Linked DNA regions of Tribolium castaneum. The main gene of each other region encodes a partner of the protein of the gene in region 2 in a complex. Links are inferred from orthologs where the notes say so. Each region holds a gene or a part of one and is shown on either strand. Other genes may lie near its edges.

Evidence for each region. The genes of interacting proteins can lie anywhere in the genome.
Region 1: ncm (region 2) and Sf3b5 share a complex: the UniProt entries of both Homo sapiens proteins name them as parts of the minor spliceosome. The link is inferred for Tribolium castaneum from reciprocal best matches to the Homo sapiens genes CWC22 and SF3B5.
Region 3: ncm (region 2) and Srrm1 share a complex: the UniProt entries of both Homo sapiens proteins name them as parts of the minor spliceosome. The link is inferred for Tribolium castaneum from reciprocal best matches to the Homo sapiens genes CWC22 and SRRM1.

Annotation. Positions count from the first base shown.
Region 1 is NC_087396.1:17,668,469-17,673,355, reverse strand, and holds Sf3b5 (splicing factor 3B subunit 5), read right to left. Parts: upstream 2,131-4,887; 5' UTR 2,007-2,130; intron 1,953-2,006; 5' UTR 1,951-1,952; coding exon 1,693-1,950; 3' UTR 1,660-1,692; downstream 1-1,659. Other genes in the region: Mtap (S-methyl-5'-thioadenosine phosphorylase), read left to right, coding at 42-355, 400-655, 701-913, 963-992; spz6 (spatzle 6 precursor), read right to left, coding at 3,846-4,064, 4,111-4,288, 4,334-4,729, 4,779-4,887. UniProt on the Homo sapiens protein: Component of the 17S U2 SnRNP complex of the spliceosome, a large ribonucleoprotein complex that removes introns from transcribed pre-mRNAs.
Region 2 is NC_087398.1:672,179-678,837, forward strand, and holds ncm (pre-mRNA-splicing factor CWC22 homolog), read right to left. Parts: upstream 4,559-6,659; 5' UTR 4,430-4,558; coding exon 3,265-4,429; intron 3,087-3,264; coding exon 2,417-3,086; intron 2,359-2,416; coding exon 1,923-2,358; 3' UTR 1,877-1,922; downstream 1-1,876. UniProt on the Homo sapiens protein: Required for pre-mRNA splicing as component of the spliceosome. As a component of the minor spliceosome, involved in the splicing of U12-type introns in pre-mRNAs. Promotes exon-junction complex (EJC) assembly.
Region 3 is NC_087398.1:3,110,362-3,117,268, forward strand, and holds the start of Srrm1 (serine/arginine repetitive matrix protein 1), read left to right. Parts: upstream 1-2,948; 5' UTR 2,949-3,244; coding exon 3,245-3,259; intron 3,260-3,356; coding exon 3,357-3,446; intron 3,447-3,496; coding exon 3,497-3,619; intron 3,620-3,668; coding exon 3,669-3,839; intron 3,840-3,890; coding exon 3,891-4,228; intron 4,229-5,488; coding exon 5,489-6,013; intron 6,014-6,907. Other genes in the region: uncharacterized protein LOC100142362, read right to left, coding at 1-55, 287-346. UniProt on the Homo sapiens protein: Part of pre- and post-splicing multiprotein mRNP complexes. As a component of the minor spliceosome, involved in the splicing of U12-type introns in pre-mRNAs. Involved in numerous pre-mRNA processing events.

The sequences.
Region 1 (4,887 bases), on a different chromosome or scaffold from region 2:
ATATTCCTTCCAACCCGGCATTTGTCGAAAACCGCACATAGATCGGCATAATCGGCGGTTCTGGCCTCGACAACCCCGACATTTTAAAAAACGCTAAAACGAAGTCGGTCAATACGCCCTTCGGCAAGCCTTCCGACGTGTTAACTTTGGGCCAAATCGAGGGGGTTGAATGCGTGCTCTTGGCCCGGCATGGCCGCACCCACGGCATAATGCCCGGCAATATAAACTACAGGGCCAACATCTGGGCCCTTAAAGAGGAAGGGTGCACCCATGTCATCGCCGCCACTGCCACCGGCTCGCTGCAGGAGCACATCAAACCGGGGGATTTGGTGATCTTGAACAGTTTCATCGACAGGTGATGGGAATTTTGATTTAGAATTTTTCTGATAGTTGTGGTAGGACACAAGGGCGGAAACAAACTTTCTATGACGGGGAGAAAAACCACCCTGTGGGGATTTGCCATTTGCCGATGGAGCCGGCGTTTTGCGAAAGAACAAGACAGTTGCTTATACAGACAGCCCAAAAGCTGAATTTTCCTGTCCATAAAACCGGGACTGTAGTCACTATTGAGGGCTCCCGGTTTTCCAGCAAGGCTGAAAGTAAAATGTTCAGGCAGTGGGGTGGGGATATCATCAATATGACCTCAGTGCCAGAGGTATTTTTTAGTAGGGAAAGGGCCCCTTTGTCATTGTTTTTCTAGGTTATTTTAGCCAAAGAGGCCGGTTTGTGTTATGCCTTAATTGCCTTAGTCACTGATTATGATTGTTGGAAAGAAAATAGAGACGAACATGTGACTGTTGCTGATGTTCTTGCCACATTTAAGAAAAATGTGACTAAAGTTACTAAAGTGATTATGGATGTGGTTCCTGCAATTGCTAAAGAAGACTGGAATTGGACTATTGACGAGCTTCAGGTTGTCTCGCTTTTTTTCGTAAGCATATTTTTATTATTTAATTTTTCAGGACTTGGTTCATAATAGTGTTATGAAATAGAACCCAACTTTCTTGGCCTTTATAAGCCTTATACAGCACACATAGTCAAATTTTTGGTGTAGATTGGTTTCATTTGTAAAAAAAAGTCCAAGGTTGAATCTGTCATATTTTATAAGCAAGCTATATTTTTATAATTGTTACATTTTACAGTCAATTAAGTATGCTATTATTGTCACTATAATTGGTAAATAAAAAATAAATATATTGAAAATCTGTTTTTTTTTTATAAAAATGCAGCGAACTAAAGCTAAGAATATTCTCTTAAAGTCATAAATTATTGTACTAGAAAAAATTATATTCCTAATAAGGGTAATAAATAAATACATTTTTAAATGCCCTTCCACTACCTTTAGAAATTTTCCTCCATGTTTTTATTAAAGAACTTGAAACACTATTTAATTTCCAAAACTTTTTATTCGATTAAGGAATACATATCTTCGGAATGATTTTAGTGATATCTTGCCTATGTAATACAGTAATACCTATTTAAATGTAAGTTAATTTTGCGGCGTGTGTGGAATACTCTATTAGTGCAATTAGTATTGACACAAATAAAGTAGGTATTCTATTCTAATAAAGGCGAAATGAAATACAAAGTAGACCTTTCGGCTACAATTATTTTAGTTATCGGAAGAATTCTAAAATGGTCTTTTAAAAAAAACAACGATTATATGAAAATTTTTATTGACTTTACTATAATCTAATCCTCGGGTTTATCTGGAGGTGGACCACACGGTTGAAGCATTTTCTCCATTAGATTAAACCTAACTCGGGCTTTTGCCTCGTTCTCACAAATCGCAAAATAATTTAACAAATCGTGGTGCCCCAAATAACTGGCGTAACTGTCTCTATGCTGGTTCAGCAGCCATTCGTATTTCGTTATTTCAGAGTGGCCTGTTCCGATATATTTCGATTGGAGATGCTCCAACTGGCTGTGGATGTTGTAGCGGTCGCCCATTACTTTTACAAATTGCAGTAAATTACGAAATAGAGACACACAAAGAAGAAACACACTTTTGTTTTGATGCTCCTAAGTTCACCTAACCTCGAACTCAACTCACTACTCATTAGTGTTAAATGTTAGGGTTGCCACTGTTGTTCGGCAGCAAAAAAGTCCCTAGGTTTTTATTCCTCTCGCTAACATTTATTATACAGGGTGTGTTGTATTTCTGAAATTTTCTTTAGGTGCCACCAAAAATGCTATACTATTTTCACTTGAATAACGCGCAATTGTAAATATGAGCCTTAAAAATCCTTCGTTTTGTAGTGTAACAGGATAGTGGTCAGTCTCTCTATTATTATATTATATTTTTCGTTTATAATACACGTGTATTAACATATATCAGTAGGAGTCGTTTATGGCTATTAAAGTACAGTGTACTTTAATGAATTTAGGGATATTTAGTTTTCAAGAGTTTCATCGATAATGCGTGGAATACACGTACGATCGATTTAATCATCATTTCTTCTTTATTTATTATTTATTACCGTCACCAACTGACACGAAATTCCCTAGACGACAAAAAAATTTAATTAAAATAAGAAAAAATCATAAAAACATTCTCGTTTTATAAGGGTTTTGGCGCACTCATCCCATAGAAAACTTGTTTTTAAATATACTATTATTTATTATTATATTATGTTATGCTAGTTTTTATACTTAGTAATTTTTTACGTATATAGACATTATGTGTTTATTTGGTCAGTTTTTAACTGTTTTGAGAAAAAAGGAGACGAACTGAAAAAATGGGGAAAAATACGTATATTATTAGCTGTCTCAAAACTATAAAAACGCTAACGTCGCATTTTCTCTCAAAATTAGCTATTATAAATTATTCATGCACTTCAAAAAAATAATAACTAATGTAATTTATAGTTTCAATAAGAGATTTAATCAATAATAACTATTTCATATTTTTATCAATCTTATTTAAAAATAAAATCGGTAAAATGCAACGTTGGCGTTTTTATAAATTTGAAACAGCTAACAGACATTTTTTTGTGGAAAAAAATTCTTGAGGCCATATTTCAGCCGCTCACGCTAAATTTGTTTAAACCTAATAAATGGTTAATGATAGAAATATGATATGGCAGACTTTCTCGGAAAAAAGCATTCTATACACTTTTTTCAACCATATTTGCAGCGTTTTAAAAAATATGGTGAAAGTTTGCTTTTTTTAATATTGTTTATGATAATTTTTGTGCTTTTATTTCTTGCCATCGAAAATGTAGGCCCACTTTCATAATCGAATTTAACGGAGCATTAAATTAAATGTTTTTTGGAATGTGTGAAAGATTTGTGAAAAATAAACATCTACTTTAATGCTCTTTTAAACCCGATTATGAATGTGGCCCTAAATGCTCTATCAGCCTGTAGTTTTTGTTTGCGTTATACTTATCGTAATTTAAATATAACCATTTTTTATCAGGAATAACTGCCCCAGATCAAACAACCAGTGTCATGAATAATATATTTCTAGAAAATTTTTACACAATTATTATACAATGTCAAAAATTTTGCACGTCCATTACCTAACCCTTTTGAAACACAGTAATTTAATTTTTTATCAAATTACTCTATTTCATAACATTTCTTATCGCCTATTCATAAATTATGTGCAAGTCTTAAGCCTGTGAAACGGTGGAATAGTCGTAACAAATAAATAAAAATATATTAAGTTGCTTTTTCCGCTCCCTCGTCGCCTAAATCGGGAGAAATATCACAAAAAGGGGATTTTAAATCAAACGGTATCGGCCGGTTTTAACCCTTCTCCCCCAAAAATCGAAGACTAGACTACACTTTTTGAAATAAAAATCCCCCTTTTCAATCATCTAATATACAGTCTTGAAAAATTATAGTTCAGTGGTGGATTTCCTCCTGACGTATTTATTAAAATAATCGGGTCTCCAACACTTGCAAGAGCCGGGGATTAAGAACCAGTCGTAGTAGAGTCGCACTTGGAAACAACCAAGGGCGTCTACTCCGTCGCAATGATTGGGTCGGGATGTGGTCGAGGAGTCCACTGGGGCGGCCTGGAGCCCGGCCCTCTTGTGCAAATACTGCTGATAGTTCTGAAAAAAAATAGATTTTTGCAAAACTTTAACCGTTCACATCTACCTGAAAGTCTTGCACTGAGGGAGGCTGCGATGCCGCCACTGGGCTTCGCGGGGGGTTCGCGGTGTCACTGTTGCTCAAAACAGTGTCGGGGTAGTAAATCTCGGCAACCAGAAGGCTTGACCATCGCGGCGAAGACAAGCAACCACCGTCCAAGTAATGGCAGCGCGATTGGAGACACCTAAACACATTTTAAAATTTGGCAAAATTTTGGTTAAGTTGTCACCTTGTAACTTCAACAGTTTGGGTAAAATAGCCTTCGTAAGGGATTTGGACGACGTATCTCCACACTCCTTGATAATTCTTCGCGAAAACTGGAGTAGCATATTCGACTTTGGCGGGACATGGGGTAGGAGGTCCCTCATAGCGGGGTTGTACCACTTCATCCCTTCTTTCAACCGGAAGATGCGACGATTGGACCACGGTTGGCGAAGAATACGATTCCCCATTGATCGCTTTGTACAACATGCAAAAAATGCCGCCTTGGTCGCAAAATTTACGACCTTTACGGTCTTTGTTGTCTTGCGAAGTGGAGTTGGCAGACTTTTCCTTTGTTTCTTGTTTCTGATCCAATTTCGCGTCCCTTTTGACCCTGTCGTTGCTATTTTGGAACGGTGTTATGCTAAACCAATTGGTTTTTAACCAGTCAATTATTAATTAATTCTACTTACGTATTTTGGGAAATAAGGTCATCTTGGAGCTGCGCAACTTTCGGCAAAGTTTCATCCGCCTTCAGAATCGGTAATGTCCGACTCAAATATTTCAAGGTCATGTTTCTTA
Region 2 (6,659 bases):
CTTAACTCTTTCAATTCAAACCTAAAAATATCATGTTTTACAAGCGTAACAGTGAGATTGGTGACTTCTGAACCAATCATGACTCTTAATATTCAGATATTTTAATTTATAAATCGATTTTTCTGACACAAATTTAAAACAGTTTTGGGTGAGGAAAGCGCCCGTTTGGCCTGGCCTGTGGTTTTATTTTATTGTTTATTTTATTTTTGATATGAATTAATCTAATATCAAAGAAATAAACTGTGTAATTTGGCGGTTTCCGGTTGGAGTATTACTAACTGCTATAGAAAATGCATTCAGTTATTGCATAAATTATTGATTTTTTATTGAAAATCCAGTCAAGGATTATAAAAACGTGTAATAATTTTCCAAATTAATAAAAAACGGATTCGTTGGCCTCTGGCTCAAAGTTTCCGATGCAACAAAACAAAGTCTCATTTTGCATACTTTGATAAAACATTCATAAAACAAACAAGAAATTTAATGATGTGTTTTACATTTTTGTAAACATTTTAAACGCTCAAATAAAATTCTATTCTTCCAGTGTGAAAGATAATGTTGCAAAAACAAGGTAATTGATAAACCATTCATTAGATAATATTTTATTAATTAAATTTCTTCATTAAAGCAGGTGGGAATGTTGAAAGTGATATTTATTTTTATTTCACAACGCTTTAGTAAACAGTGTGTGAGGTAAGAGGGTTTAAACAGCTAACAATTAATAATGAATTTGAATAAAAACGTATTTATTTTGGGATCATTGATAAGTTCAAAATCAATTGTTTGTGAACAGAGACGTCACTTCCCCTAACTTACGATAAAACAACCACCCTTGGTATAAATTCAGCTTTCTTTCCGTTAATCGGATGACTAATCTGAATGTTATTCATAACAATAACAGTGGCATTGGAGGGAAAACCTGGCACAGGAATAATTTCAGAATAATCAAATAATGCAATGTTACATCCGGCCTTGTAAAGCATGAAAGCACGTCTCCGCGAGAATTCACCAACGTGAAGAGATTCAGGTCTTGTGTGTGAAAAAATGAGTTATCGCACTTGGTCGAAATTTTACAAGTTTGTTCTGCGATTAATACAATCTCTTATCTCTGGTAAATGTTCTGGTAGTTGTCGAGTGGTCATAACTACGTTCGTAATTATCTGTTTATGCAAGCCAGTCTGTGCGGCTTTAATCCCCGATAGGGGCTTCACAGCAATGACCTATAACACATAAGAGAGCTGATAACCGTGTCGTGGAATTAAAAAAGAAGGGGGCGTATGGCTCTCAAGGCTCCGGGGTTCAAGGGCGTCGTTGTCCGAAATCAGCTGACTTTTCAGGGGCCCCGCGAACGCCTCAATCAACAGGTCCAGGACCCCGTTACAATCCGACACGAAACATTGAGATTTACTTTAATGCGAATGACGCATTTGACATAATAAAAAAAACATCGTCTCCACTCATCTAACCTACCGACTTGGCTCTAGCTACTTACTTTGGTTAAATAGCTCACGTTGCACTAATACGATTACTGTTTTTCTTCCTCATAAAAATACCTTTGATCGGATTTATTGTTTTTAACACGATAGCACCAATTTACTACACAATGAACAAAAATTAGTGACACACAAAATGACAGCTCGGACCCGACGAAACTGCTTGCCAACCTCGCCAACAAAAACCACCAAGCCTTGTTCACCCAAATTTTCAGTTAAAACTAACCCAAAATTAAAATTTTCACCCAAATTTGTCTCATTTTAGCAAAAGCACAAACACGCAATTTAATTAACACCCACATTTCGTCAAAAAAAATGCCAAAAGTGTGGGTTTGACTAAGCGCCAAATTCAAATCTGGTAACTTTAAGGAATCAAACACAAGTCACAAATAAAAATATTTATTCAATACAATTTATGTACAAAGTAACTTATCTCCTACTCTTATGCTTCCTCTCGGGGCTCCTACGCCGCCTCCGATCGTCTCGATCGCGTGACCGTCTCTCATTATGTCTGTGTTTCCTCGCATCTGTTTTTCGTTTTTTATCATCGTCTGATGCTTCTTTTGTCGGTTTTTTCCTCTTCTTTTCTTCCTTCTTCTTACGTGGTTTCTCATCTTCGGAACTTGACGAATCCGAATCACTACTATCGGAACTGGATGAGCTTGAACTGCTAGTGCTACTGCTGCTAGAATCACTTGATTTTTCAGTAATCGTCAAGGGATTGACTTTAGGGGCTGTTTTCAAATGTTCCCTCAACTCGGCCGTAAGCCCCCCTAAGCCAATCGACGTGAAAAAATTAATCGCAAATCTTGTATTTTTGGGATCATCGCGCGGAAACAGCCCCTCAAAATGTGGCTGAAGCGTTCTGAAAAAAATCCAAAAAATTAACAAAACCTCGTTAATTATCAAACACAGTCACTTACGCATCTTTAAGCCTGGCATTTAACTTCTCCAAGCCCATATATTCGGCCAATTCCTGGAACAAAATCTTGATGAAAATCCGATTGGAACTATTGGTATCCTCTTCGTTCAGTTTCATAATTTCTAAAACCTCCCATCCAATCGCATCGGTGAACAACAAATGTGCGAAAAACTTGCTAACATTTCGCAATTTATTTGTGTCAAGTCTGTGTGTTGTGGCGTACGTGTCTTTGAAGATTTGTTGGAATGGCTCGACATAAATCTGATTCACTTGACAAAATCTCTGTGCCAATAATCCGTAAAACTTCTCGTAAGTCCGTTGTTCGGCACAACAGTCGAGGAACATGTGGCATAATTCGATTTCTTGGCCCGGTTTCAGTTCCATTTTCATTAGTTTGTGGGCACTTTCCTCAAAATCTAAACTTGATTGGATGGTTAAGTAGATTGTTCTGCGTAGGGCCACGAGGTTGGTCTCCGTATTGTCGATTATGTTGGATTCGTTCTTTTGGGCGCCTTCTTCTTCCTCTTCGTCCTCGTCTTCGTCGTCTTCCTCGTCACCGGACTCTTCCTCCGAGCCGGAGCCCGACTCGCTGTCCATGTCCAGGATTTCCTTGCTCAAAGTCTTGTACTTCCCCTCGTTTTCCTCGTAGTTGTCGTCGAATTTAAACACATCTAGACAGGATAATCACAGAGTGAACGAGGCAAATTAAGGAATTAATTAATTAAAATTTCAAAATAATTTTTTCTGAGAAATAAAAAAATAATAATAAAAAATCTCAAAACCTGGATACCCCGATTTTTTTGTATAAAAAATTAAGTACAGTTCCACCTAATTAAAAAGTTTCCTTACTTAAAATATCCTCAGCATTTGATTGCTTAACATCATCCAGCGTAATCAAATGTGTAAACTGGTGCTCCTCATCCACCAAATCCAACTCTTCAATAACAGCGGCATGATCCTTAAACCCGTCCTTCCTGATTTGGAACATAACTTCAATCATGTACTGAATCCTCGGTTCCAACTTCCCCTCATGTAAAATATTCCTCAACATTTCAAAGATGGCATTAATGCCTTTACTCGAAACCTCAGTCAATTTCTGTCCACATTCCTTCAGAAACGAAATCGCAACTTCAACCGAATCATCAGTTGGCGTCTCCACCAAAAGAGTCAAAATCTCCAAGGCGAGAATTTCATGCGCAACCCTCTGATTAACCAAATGAGCCACAAAAGTCGTGGCCGAAATGCAGATAATTTTATTATTCTGCTTGAAACCGCGCTTGAATTGCAAAACCAAACGTTTCAGTAACAATTCTCCAATATTAGGGAATTTCGAATTGATGACAGCGACCAGGGCTGCGTACACGTTTGTGAAAGTTGGGGACGCAGCTTGCGCTTGTATTATGGACTTGCAGAGCAGTCCGCGCCCCCTTACCACATTCTCATGGAGCAATTCCCGCGAAATAATCCCAATGTTGGACGTATTCACCTTGTTAATAAACCCATGAATGGATTTTTTTAACGCCTCCCACGCAATTCTTTGATACGCCGCCGAGCTCTTATCAGTAATCTCCGCTTGCATCATCCGCAGCTTCGCTGGAGGGATGTAAGCCCCACCTGTCCGTGTCAGTAAATCCACGGTTTTGCGCTCACGGGGGGCTATCACCGACTTATCCGTCTCCTTCTCAGACTCTTTGTCTTTATCGTCGGGCTCGCCCCCGTAATACCTACTACCCACCTGATGGTCATCCTTGCGGGGGTATTTGGTCCAATATCTATCGCTGTTTTTCTTGTGTTCTTGATCCTCGCCGTAATACCGAGGGTATTCTTCAAGGGGGCGGTCCAAGTCGTGGTATTTGCGACTTTTGCGACGGTCTCGTGAACGCGAACGGCGGGAACGCTTCCGGGAGTCTTTATGGGGCGAGTCGTCACGACGTTTTTTACGGGATTCAGGGGATTTGGAGCGGCTTTTACGCTTGGGTTTGGGCTGTGGGGAGGTTTCGGTGTCGGTGGTCATTTTTTAAGCACTCACAAAAACACAGTAAGAAATTGGGGCGATTATTGACAACACACAACAACGCAAGAGGTTGAGGTTATGTGGCACTGGTGATAATGACAAATTCCCTACTATTTTTGAATTTTAAAGTCGCCAGATTTTTTTGTGCATTTAGAATAAATTATAATTAATTATATGTACGTGTTTACGCAATTATAACATAACTAGAGGGCCAGGAATTGGTGGTTTTATTAATTCCAGACATATTTGAAAATTTACAGACTTACTAAATTAGTGACAAATCTAAAATTTCAAAAAAATTTGAATGTGATTTTGGGGGTCACGTTTGCCTAAAAAATATATCACGACCTGGGAATTTTGGGATTTTAATGATCTTTAAATGTTAAATAAAAGAAAACTAGATGATGTAACGTTTAGCTATTGATAGAAAACAAAAAGTACCTACATGGAAGTAATTTTGGCAAAATTTGTTACTTTGGAACCTTAAATATTGATTTAAAAGTTCAAAACAATAAAATTTTAAGTAGAGCATGTCTGAAAAGTTTGCTATTTTTTTCTTGTATTGTGTATTGTTTGTTTGTAGATTAACATATAATACGTGTTATATTTTATGATAACATTTCAGGCAATTGAGAAGACAAGATATGATATTGTAAAATTGTGAAATAGTCAGAACCTTATGGTTCTCAGGTCGCGATATTTTCAGAATATTTACTTCGACAGCGACTTTTAATGTGTTCCCATAAAATGAATAACTTGACACAGACTTTCGCTTTTTCTTGAAGAGAAATGGCTGTTGGTGCAAAAACAAGCAAAAACCGATAATAGTGGCTAATAACAGCTCTAGCGTACAATTAAATTTTTATGGCACAATAACAAGTTCGATCAAAGATTTCTCAACAATACTTCCGCGGTGAAAAGAGCGTTTTTACGGCATACTGAAAGTGTTACAAGGTATTTTATTCAGTTTGTGGATTTTAAAAAATCGGCGCGGAGAACGATAAGGTCACGCATTTTAATTTTGCGGAATTTCGCGGAGGCCTCCCATGAATATGTGAAATGTTTGCGTGTACCATATTTTATTAAACAGTTTGAACAATAAACAGTGCGAATGCAGCGTTTTCGAGGCATCAAGGTCACTGCCAAGTGAACTTAAACCCAGCTCCAGCTGTTTCAAAGATCGACCAACGAAACCAATCCGTACAAAAGAGCCCGAGGCTGCTTTATGGAGAGTACCCATGCTATAGCAATTCAGTTGGTTCTCAACCTTTCGGTGCCGATACCGTGCGCGTTCTCCTCTCCCATTTTTCCAAAATTTTGCCCAATTTTTGGTACTTTTTCTAAGTAAAAAAGCGTGCCGGGTTGGTGTAGGTGCTAAAGGTGCTGGGCCCAAGGTTGCGACTTTTGTTAATCATCTTGCTTGGAATAATTACAAGTGGAACTTGCAGTCATGGTAAATAATTATTTCGCACAAATCGCTCTTTTTTTAGAAATTAATTGACCACTCGCTTGAGTAGTTAGGGGAAAGAATTTTAATTATAGTTTTGGGTGCAGTTCCGATAAAAAGGTCACAAAAGGGTTATCGTAAAATGCGCAACAAGACCGAAAATAAGGCCTCCAAAAGTCGTCTCGTTGCTCTAATCGCAATAATGAGTAAACCTTTTAGTGGTCAACTTATCGACCCAAATAAGTCATTAAAAAACCACTTATCGTTACTCATTTTAACATGTTTCTGCAATAATTACTAATTAGTTTTCGTCGAAAAATTGTATTGTATTTTTTTGGGTCGTGGAATTATGTAAACGTGATGTCATTTGTTTAACATTTAAAAGAAACATTACCATAAAAATATTATGCACCTCCAAGCATTAGCATGTGTCGCACTAAAAGCTAAAAATATCGTCTTTATGGGCGAAGCCTTCCAGAGGCATCAAAGACCTTTCGGTGGCTGCTTCCGAAACTATTTTACCTGAGTTTATGAATTAGCGCCACTGAATCAGGTGTGATCTTCAACAATGGTCGAGGAATTTTAATGTGATTCTGATTGTCATTTTTATTCTAATTAAAAAACATTGAGTTTGTTTTCTCCGTCAGGGTCAAATGTTAGTGTTTACTTTAGCAGTGTGAATAACAAACACTGCCAAAATTTTTGACGACTACGAGGGCGGTCATTCAAAACTAATTCCTTCGTGTAAATAAACCCATCACGTGTTTGTCCATTGTCTCAGTC
Region 3 (6,907 bases), about 2.4 Mb from region 2:
GAGTGGGGATTTTTCCTAAGGCTGTGGTCACAGAAGAGATTAATACTGTTATAATCTGAAAAAAAAACACAGTTTTGTCGATTTTCAAAAATCAGTTAGTCACTTCCTCAATTGGGTTTATTTATTATTACTGGCAAGCGATAAAGCAGCATCATAAAGAAATAGATTTATTATTCTCTATTGTCTGTCTGGCTGGTGTATAATGAATGATTGGCACGTGACGGCATAAAGGACTAATGATGCGGTTTGTGCGCTCTTAGTTGTCCATAAATAAAGTACCACTAACTTTTTGACTTCCTGTCTTTGAAGCCACAATAAATAATTTGTCGATTTTGTAAAAAACCATGTAAATACATTAGTCACTGGTCATTATACTCAAGTTGTTGGCCATAAAATAGCACCATTTTCCGCTTCACCTCTGAAGCAGCTTGAATGAACTTTAAAACGTTTCAGTAATTCAGATAAGTGCAATACTTATTCATGGTTTTATGGTGAAAGAAACTTGTCGAAAGGAATTTTTATTTCTTATTTGCAAAATAACTCGGCTCGTAAAGATATGATGGTCAAATGTTAAAAACACAGCAGGTTTTTTAATGCAAATATTCATGCAACAAAATCAAAAATTTAAGTATCGGCTCCACTTTTGAGTGATAAAAGACGTTCAACTAAGCATGAAATAAGCTCAGATTTTTTCCGAGCAGTTTAATTTTTCCTAATTAATGTTGAATTTACAGGTTTTTAAATGTTTTTTACTCCGTGAAACACAAATTGCTGTTTTCTTGCCTTGAAGACCGAGCTTATTTTGTATCTGTAATTATATTTTTTCTTTCACTACAAACTATAATTAACCGCTGAGTTACTGGTGTAACCACAGAAATTGTTCAAGATAGTAGTTATTATTTTGCTAAAAATGGTGTAACAGTTTACATTTTTGAAAATCGTAGGTAAATGCTTCAGTTTTAAGTAGGTTACCTAAATACTTTTTCGCCTTGAGCGACGTGATTACCAATAATGGCTGTTCCAAGCGCAAAGAATCGTTAATTCGTTGAACCATTTCTAAAGCTTGTTATTTCTCGTAATTAAATTGGTTGGACCACCAATTTAAAAAATTACAAGTTGTTTCATTGTTAAAGTAATGTCTTTACTTTTTTATTTGGACCAAACATTGAGAAAAAGGCGGATTTTTGCGTGACCAGGTGCCCATTACGAATTATTTACTGTTACACTTCGTCTCATTTAAATAAATTAAACAGGTGTTTCCAAAGTCAGGTTCAACGAAATATTTTGTCGGATGGTATTGAACTTTCTACGAGAAACTAATAACGTGATTATGCATTTCCAAAGCTATAACGCATTTAGAGAAATTAATTGATAACTTTATGTCTAGACTAGCTGATGGTTAATAAAAGTAAAATGCAATAAATTATACATTATGTTGGTTGATAGCCGGGTGATAAGTTAATTTCTAAAATTTCGTGTTAACGACTTGGGGCGATAAAAGAAATACAAAGTGCGCATTTTCACTCATTTACAATTTCTCAAAACTTGTTTAAATTTTACTTGTTTATATTGTCCTGTTATAATTACAATTTCGTCGTGCGGTTCAAGTACCTCGTATTATAATTTTCTGGTTTCTTATCCCACCTCACGAACAAAGTCGCACGACATAATTAAATTAGCGGCTTTTTTCAACTATACTATACCCTCGAAGAGGTAATTGCGATCGATGAGGTCTAATTAAGCCTTCGATAAGCACGGAAACTTCGTGACATGAATTTCGTCTTCGGCTGTAGGTCTTTTAAAAATTAATCACGAAAAGTACCGTTTAATTACCATCTCAACCTCATTCCGAAGGCTAGTCATCTCAGACAATACGAAATACCTGACCAAATACTCAACAAGATGATGACATCACCGGTTTTCCAAAAAACCGTCAATGATGGGTAAAATCATCTAAACCCGACACTGTCCCGTGCATTACATTGACCACCTGTCCAGTACGTACCTACTCAAAGCGATACCTGATCATTGACCTCATCATATAACTGTTCTTCGGCGTTTATGTGGGCTGCAGAGGGCAAATATTTTGAATATCGGTAAATCTACATACTCGCGCGAATTGAGCCCTGCGCCCCTGCAAACTTACCGCAAAAACCGTATTTTTGCTAATGGCCATCCTGTCCTGACTCTGGCACTTATGAGACTCGAAAAATTGCAAATCTAGCAAACAATAATTTTCGGTGCGTTTCACTCAAAATTGCCAATCCATATTTGAACCACCTTTTTTCTACTTTATTTTTTCACTAACTGGCACTGTGGTCACTGGTGCACTTTGGTCGGGTGCTGCACGAAATAATTTCTTTGAAGTGTGCCAGTAGACTGAAGACCAGGTTGTTCTTGAACTTGTGAAACGGAAATGATATAATGTTGTACCTGGGAGGGATTAAAGAACAAGAACAGTTGCTAAGTGGGAGAACACCCTGTTTTCCTATTATAACAGATGACTGGCTAATAGTCGACGGACCATTACGGTTCAATGGAGGCTACCTGTCTCATCTGGGCCCCCAATTATGTTGTGCTGAAGACAACTTTGTTTCTCGAGTTCTAAGAAAAATACCAATTGGGATTTGATTTCGTGAACAAAACAGTTTTTTTGACTAGCACTTTATGTTTAGAGCGTTTGATTGGGAGTGAATGACCGGCAAAAAGCAGTTCATTTGGGAATTTTTCCGGAATTTTATTTTTTACAACTGGGCTGCTCTTGTGTGCTATTTTTGCACAAAGTAGCGTTTTTGCCTCATTTTTAGTAAAATACGTGGTTGGGCGTTGTTGTAGTTTTGCGATAAAGCGGCTTTTATTAAAATAGGTTTGAATGAGTTCTCAGATTTTAAAGTCGCGCTTGGCCCGGTCGGTGCGGTAGAGCTGCGGTGGTAAGGCAGAATCTGGAATTATCAACAAATTTGACGCCATGACGCCACGCCATTTTGTTGGAAGCAACATGGATTTGTAGAATTTAGTGCGCGATTAATTGTAAAAAACGATGATTTTTTTATTGTGAGTCGCGTTAATCGGGAGTTTGCATTAACCGCTGTAGTTTAGTGTTATAGTAAATCATGTGAAGAATTCAATTATGTGTATATCGTGAAGTCAAGTACCGGCGTCTGTGCTACAGTTCCTCGTTTCTTGATTTAGTAATTTGAGTGGTTTTTGTTAGTTTGCAACGAAAGGACCATTTCCGGACTCTATGATGATGTATACGGTGAGTTTTTTGCAAGTGGATTACGTCCCCCCTTGGTGTTTATTAATAGAACTGTCAAATATTTTAAGGGATTATTGTTGTAAACAACTCGTTTCAGGGCACAACCACCGAGCAAGACAATCGCTTCAGCGATAAGGAAAAAAAGCTCCTGAAGCAGATGAAGTTCAGCGATTGTTTGAGTCAGAGGGTAAATTAAGCCAAGCGTAGGTACCGTGATAAAGCAGCGCTCAATTGCAGGTTGATATGTCCAAAATTAAACTTGATGTCATCAAGCCGTGGATCCAAGACAAATTAACGGAAATCTTGAAAATTGATGACGACGTCGTCGTCGATTTTGTTTATAATCAACTAGATGAGAAGGTACAACATTGCCAACTGAAACTCGCTTGCTTAAATATTTACGTTGCAGTTTCCCGATCCTAAAAAGATCCAAATCAATCTTACGGGGTTTCTGCATGGGAAAAACGCGCGCGAGTTCATGGCCGAGCTGTGGGCGCTCTTGATCTCAGCACAGGAGAACCCGTCCGGAATCCCCGACTCACTCTTGGACTTGAAGCGTGAAGAAATCATAAAAAAGAAGGTTTGCATAAATTACATACTTTTGGTGGTATCACCGCTTGTGTTATATTAGGAGAAAGAGGAAAAAGAGCGTGAGATTCGGGACCGGGAAAGAGAAAAAGAGCGCGAACGCGAAAAGTCCGACAAGGAGAAGAAATACAGGGATAGGGACAGGTCCAGGTCTAGGAGGAGATCACGGTCAAGGTCGCGGCCCAGGAGGCGGTCGGTTGAAAGGTCCAGCAGGAACAACGATAGAGGGAAGGACAAGAGGTCAAGGAGCCGTTCCAGATCCAGGATCAAGATTGATGATTTGAGGAACAACGGCAACGCAAGTCCCAACGAACGGGAGAATAATGGCAGAGAGGATTCTGCCAAATTGGAAAGCAGTACTGCCAATTCTAAACATAATTCGTAAGTTTGTTTACTGATAGATTAAATTTGTTGCGGAAATTAATTGCACGTTGTGGTAAGTGGTGAGTTTTGTAAATTGCTTCAGTAACTCGTGTTACGACACAATTTCAGCAAGATGCTAAAAATGGTTATTATTTTTATGACGCGCAAAATTCGTTGAATAAATAAATAAAGAACGTTAGAGAAAGTTGGTTTCTTTCTTGATTATATCACTGGCTAAAAGTATTTTAAGCAAGTGAAAAAATTTGCACATTTTAATACTGCGTGGATTTTTTGTTTAATAAGTTTTCTAAGGTTTGCGCTATTTTGGCACGTTTTGGGATTGATTTTATTTTTATTTGTTAACGTATTAAAATAATTGTGGATTAATTTTTGTGATTTTGTATGTATTTAATAAAAACCATTCTTTGTCAACATGCATTGATGATGCAGCTTTAATCATCTAATGATGGAACGTTATATTGGAAATGGACGTAGTTGTGTGAGCAAGTTGACTTTGTTATGTGATTCAAATAATTTTCTTAAAATTATTCGAATAGATATTAGTTTACAGGTTTTTTGTAATCTGTTTTTAATTACGTCGAAAAATTATGCAAACGGTTATTTACGTTACAAGGATTAAAAACGATATGTTGCATTACGTGGGTGAGTGATACGTTGTGTTTTCATAAGAGTAACGTACAATATTTTTTCTGTAGCTTTATTAAAACATTTTTTAATTATGTATTAAAATAAATGTTATTTTTATTACAAAATTACGTTGGTATTTATCACTTTTTATTTTGTTTTTTTTTTCACACTAATCATTATCGTGCCAGTGCCTGGTAAACACGAATTTATTAATAGATTTTTTATATTTGTATTAGAAGTTTTATTTCCCGGTGTTCTTCTTTGCCAAGAAAACATTTTTAAAGTTTTTTTGTCTTAGCTTGCGTCCAAGCACTTTTATTAAAAAAAGTCAGTTATATAAACTATATTATGGCTATAAATAAATACCTCAGTCTTATTGGTTTTATAAAACTTTATCGTCCATTGTATAAAATAATTACAAAAATTAAAAACCACTTGTAAGGAAGAATAACAGTTTAAATAATAGCGTTACCTTTTTTTTGTATGTGATGGGTTGTACCGATGTATTTAATGTTTGTTCGGACATTTTGTGTAATCAAAATGCATCGTTGGCTTCGTCTTGATTCCATTATTTTTGTTGCCCGTTTTGCAAACGATGTGGGCAGGTTTAACGTTGGCTTTACTGTCTAGAGAGAGTTCCCAGCCCGTGTCAAAGCTTCAAGCGAAGCTGATGTCCATGGCCGGCGGCAACGGCAAACAGCAGCAACAGCAGCGTAACTCCCGTTCCCGTTCGAAATCAGTATCTCGCTCCCGTTCAAAGTCGGCTTCACGCTCCAAGTCACCCAGCAAATCGCATTCGAGATCCCGTTCGTCGTCTAGTCCACGAGCATCAAAGGATCGCAAGTCGCGCTCCCTCTCCAAGGACAAGGAGAAACGTCGCTCCCGCTCCAGTTCGGACGGATCCAAGGACAACTTCGAGATCAGGAAGAAGGAGAACAGCGTCCAGAAGAAACGCCACTACAGATCCAACAAGGACAGCTCCGACAGCGAACCGGACCAGGACAAGGGCAAGAGGAAGAAGTCACTGTCGAAGTCACCGCGACGCGCCAGGAAAAACAGCAGGGATAAGAGTCCCAGACGCAAGAGGAGCTTGTCCAGGAAGAGGAGCAGCTCCAGGAAGAGGTCCCTAAGCCGAAAGAGGAGTCTTTCGAGAAGGTGGGATTTTTATTTCTATTATGTGTTTTACCGTTAAAAACAAGGATACAGAGTTAATTGTCAGTTTATGACATGGTATGTAGTCATTTCTTTAACAGTGTTGTGTCAGTGGTTCAATACTTCTAAATTTGCAATACGTAAACAGTTATCTTCTATTTGAAACTAGCATTCGATTTTTTGTTTTTATTAAGGGGAACTCGACCGTTCAACTGCATGAAAGAGAGATCTTTTAAATATTTTATTTTAAATATATTTTTTTAAGATATTGTTAATTTAAAATCGTGTTTTGTAATTTTTCGTGTTTTTGAATTTCTGTAGATTTATGTCAGAGACGAGAAAAAAATATTAGTTTTTCAATTCGGTTTATAATAAATAAATAATCATGGAAAATATGCGATATATTCTCACTGACACAAATTTATGAGGCTCTTGTAACTACTCAGTAATGCTAATGAATTTCTATTATAAAAACAGTAATTTTTTGTGCAAAATGATCGATAAATCTTGTCCCTAGTGGTGAATTGCCGCTCCAAATTATTTATCGGCCGTATCATTACTTAATTTTGCTTTATGTCACCAATAATTCCACAATTTACCGTTATTGTTTGGTCGAGATCCACTTAAATCTTATATCCGGCGTATCTCAGCTAAGATATTTGTTTTTTTTTTCTGTCTAATTTGTGAATTAATGTGTATTTTTTTTTGAGTAATTTTTTTAGATGAGATAACAAGCGTCTAAAAATGAATGAGATCGTAGTATGTTTTGGCTAGGCCTCATTTAGATATACGCTGGCCTGGCCAACACACCCTACGATGTCATTCATTTTTAGGCGCTTGTTACTTTACTTATGGGAACAGAATCTGCTATTTTGTATTAAATCAATTGATTTTTCG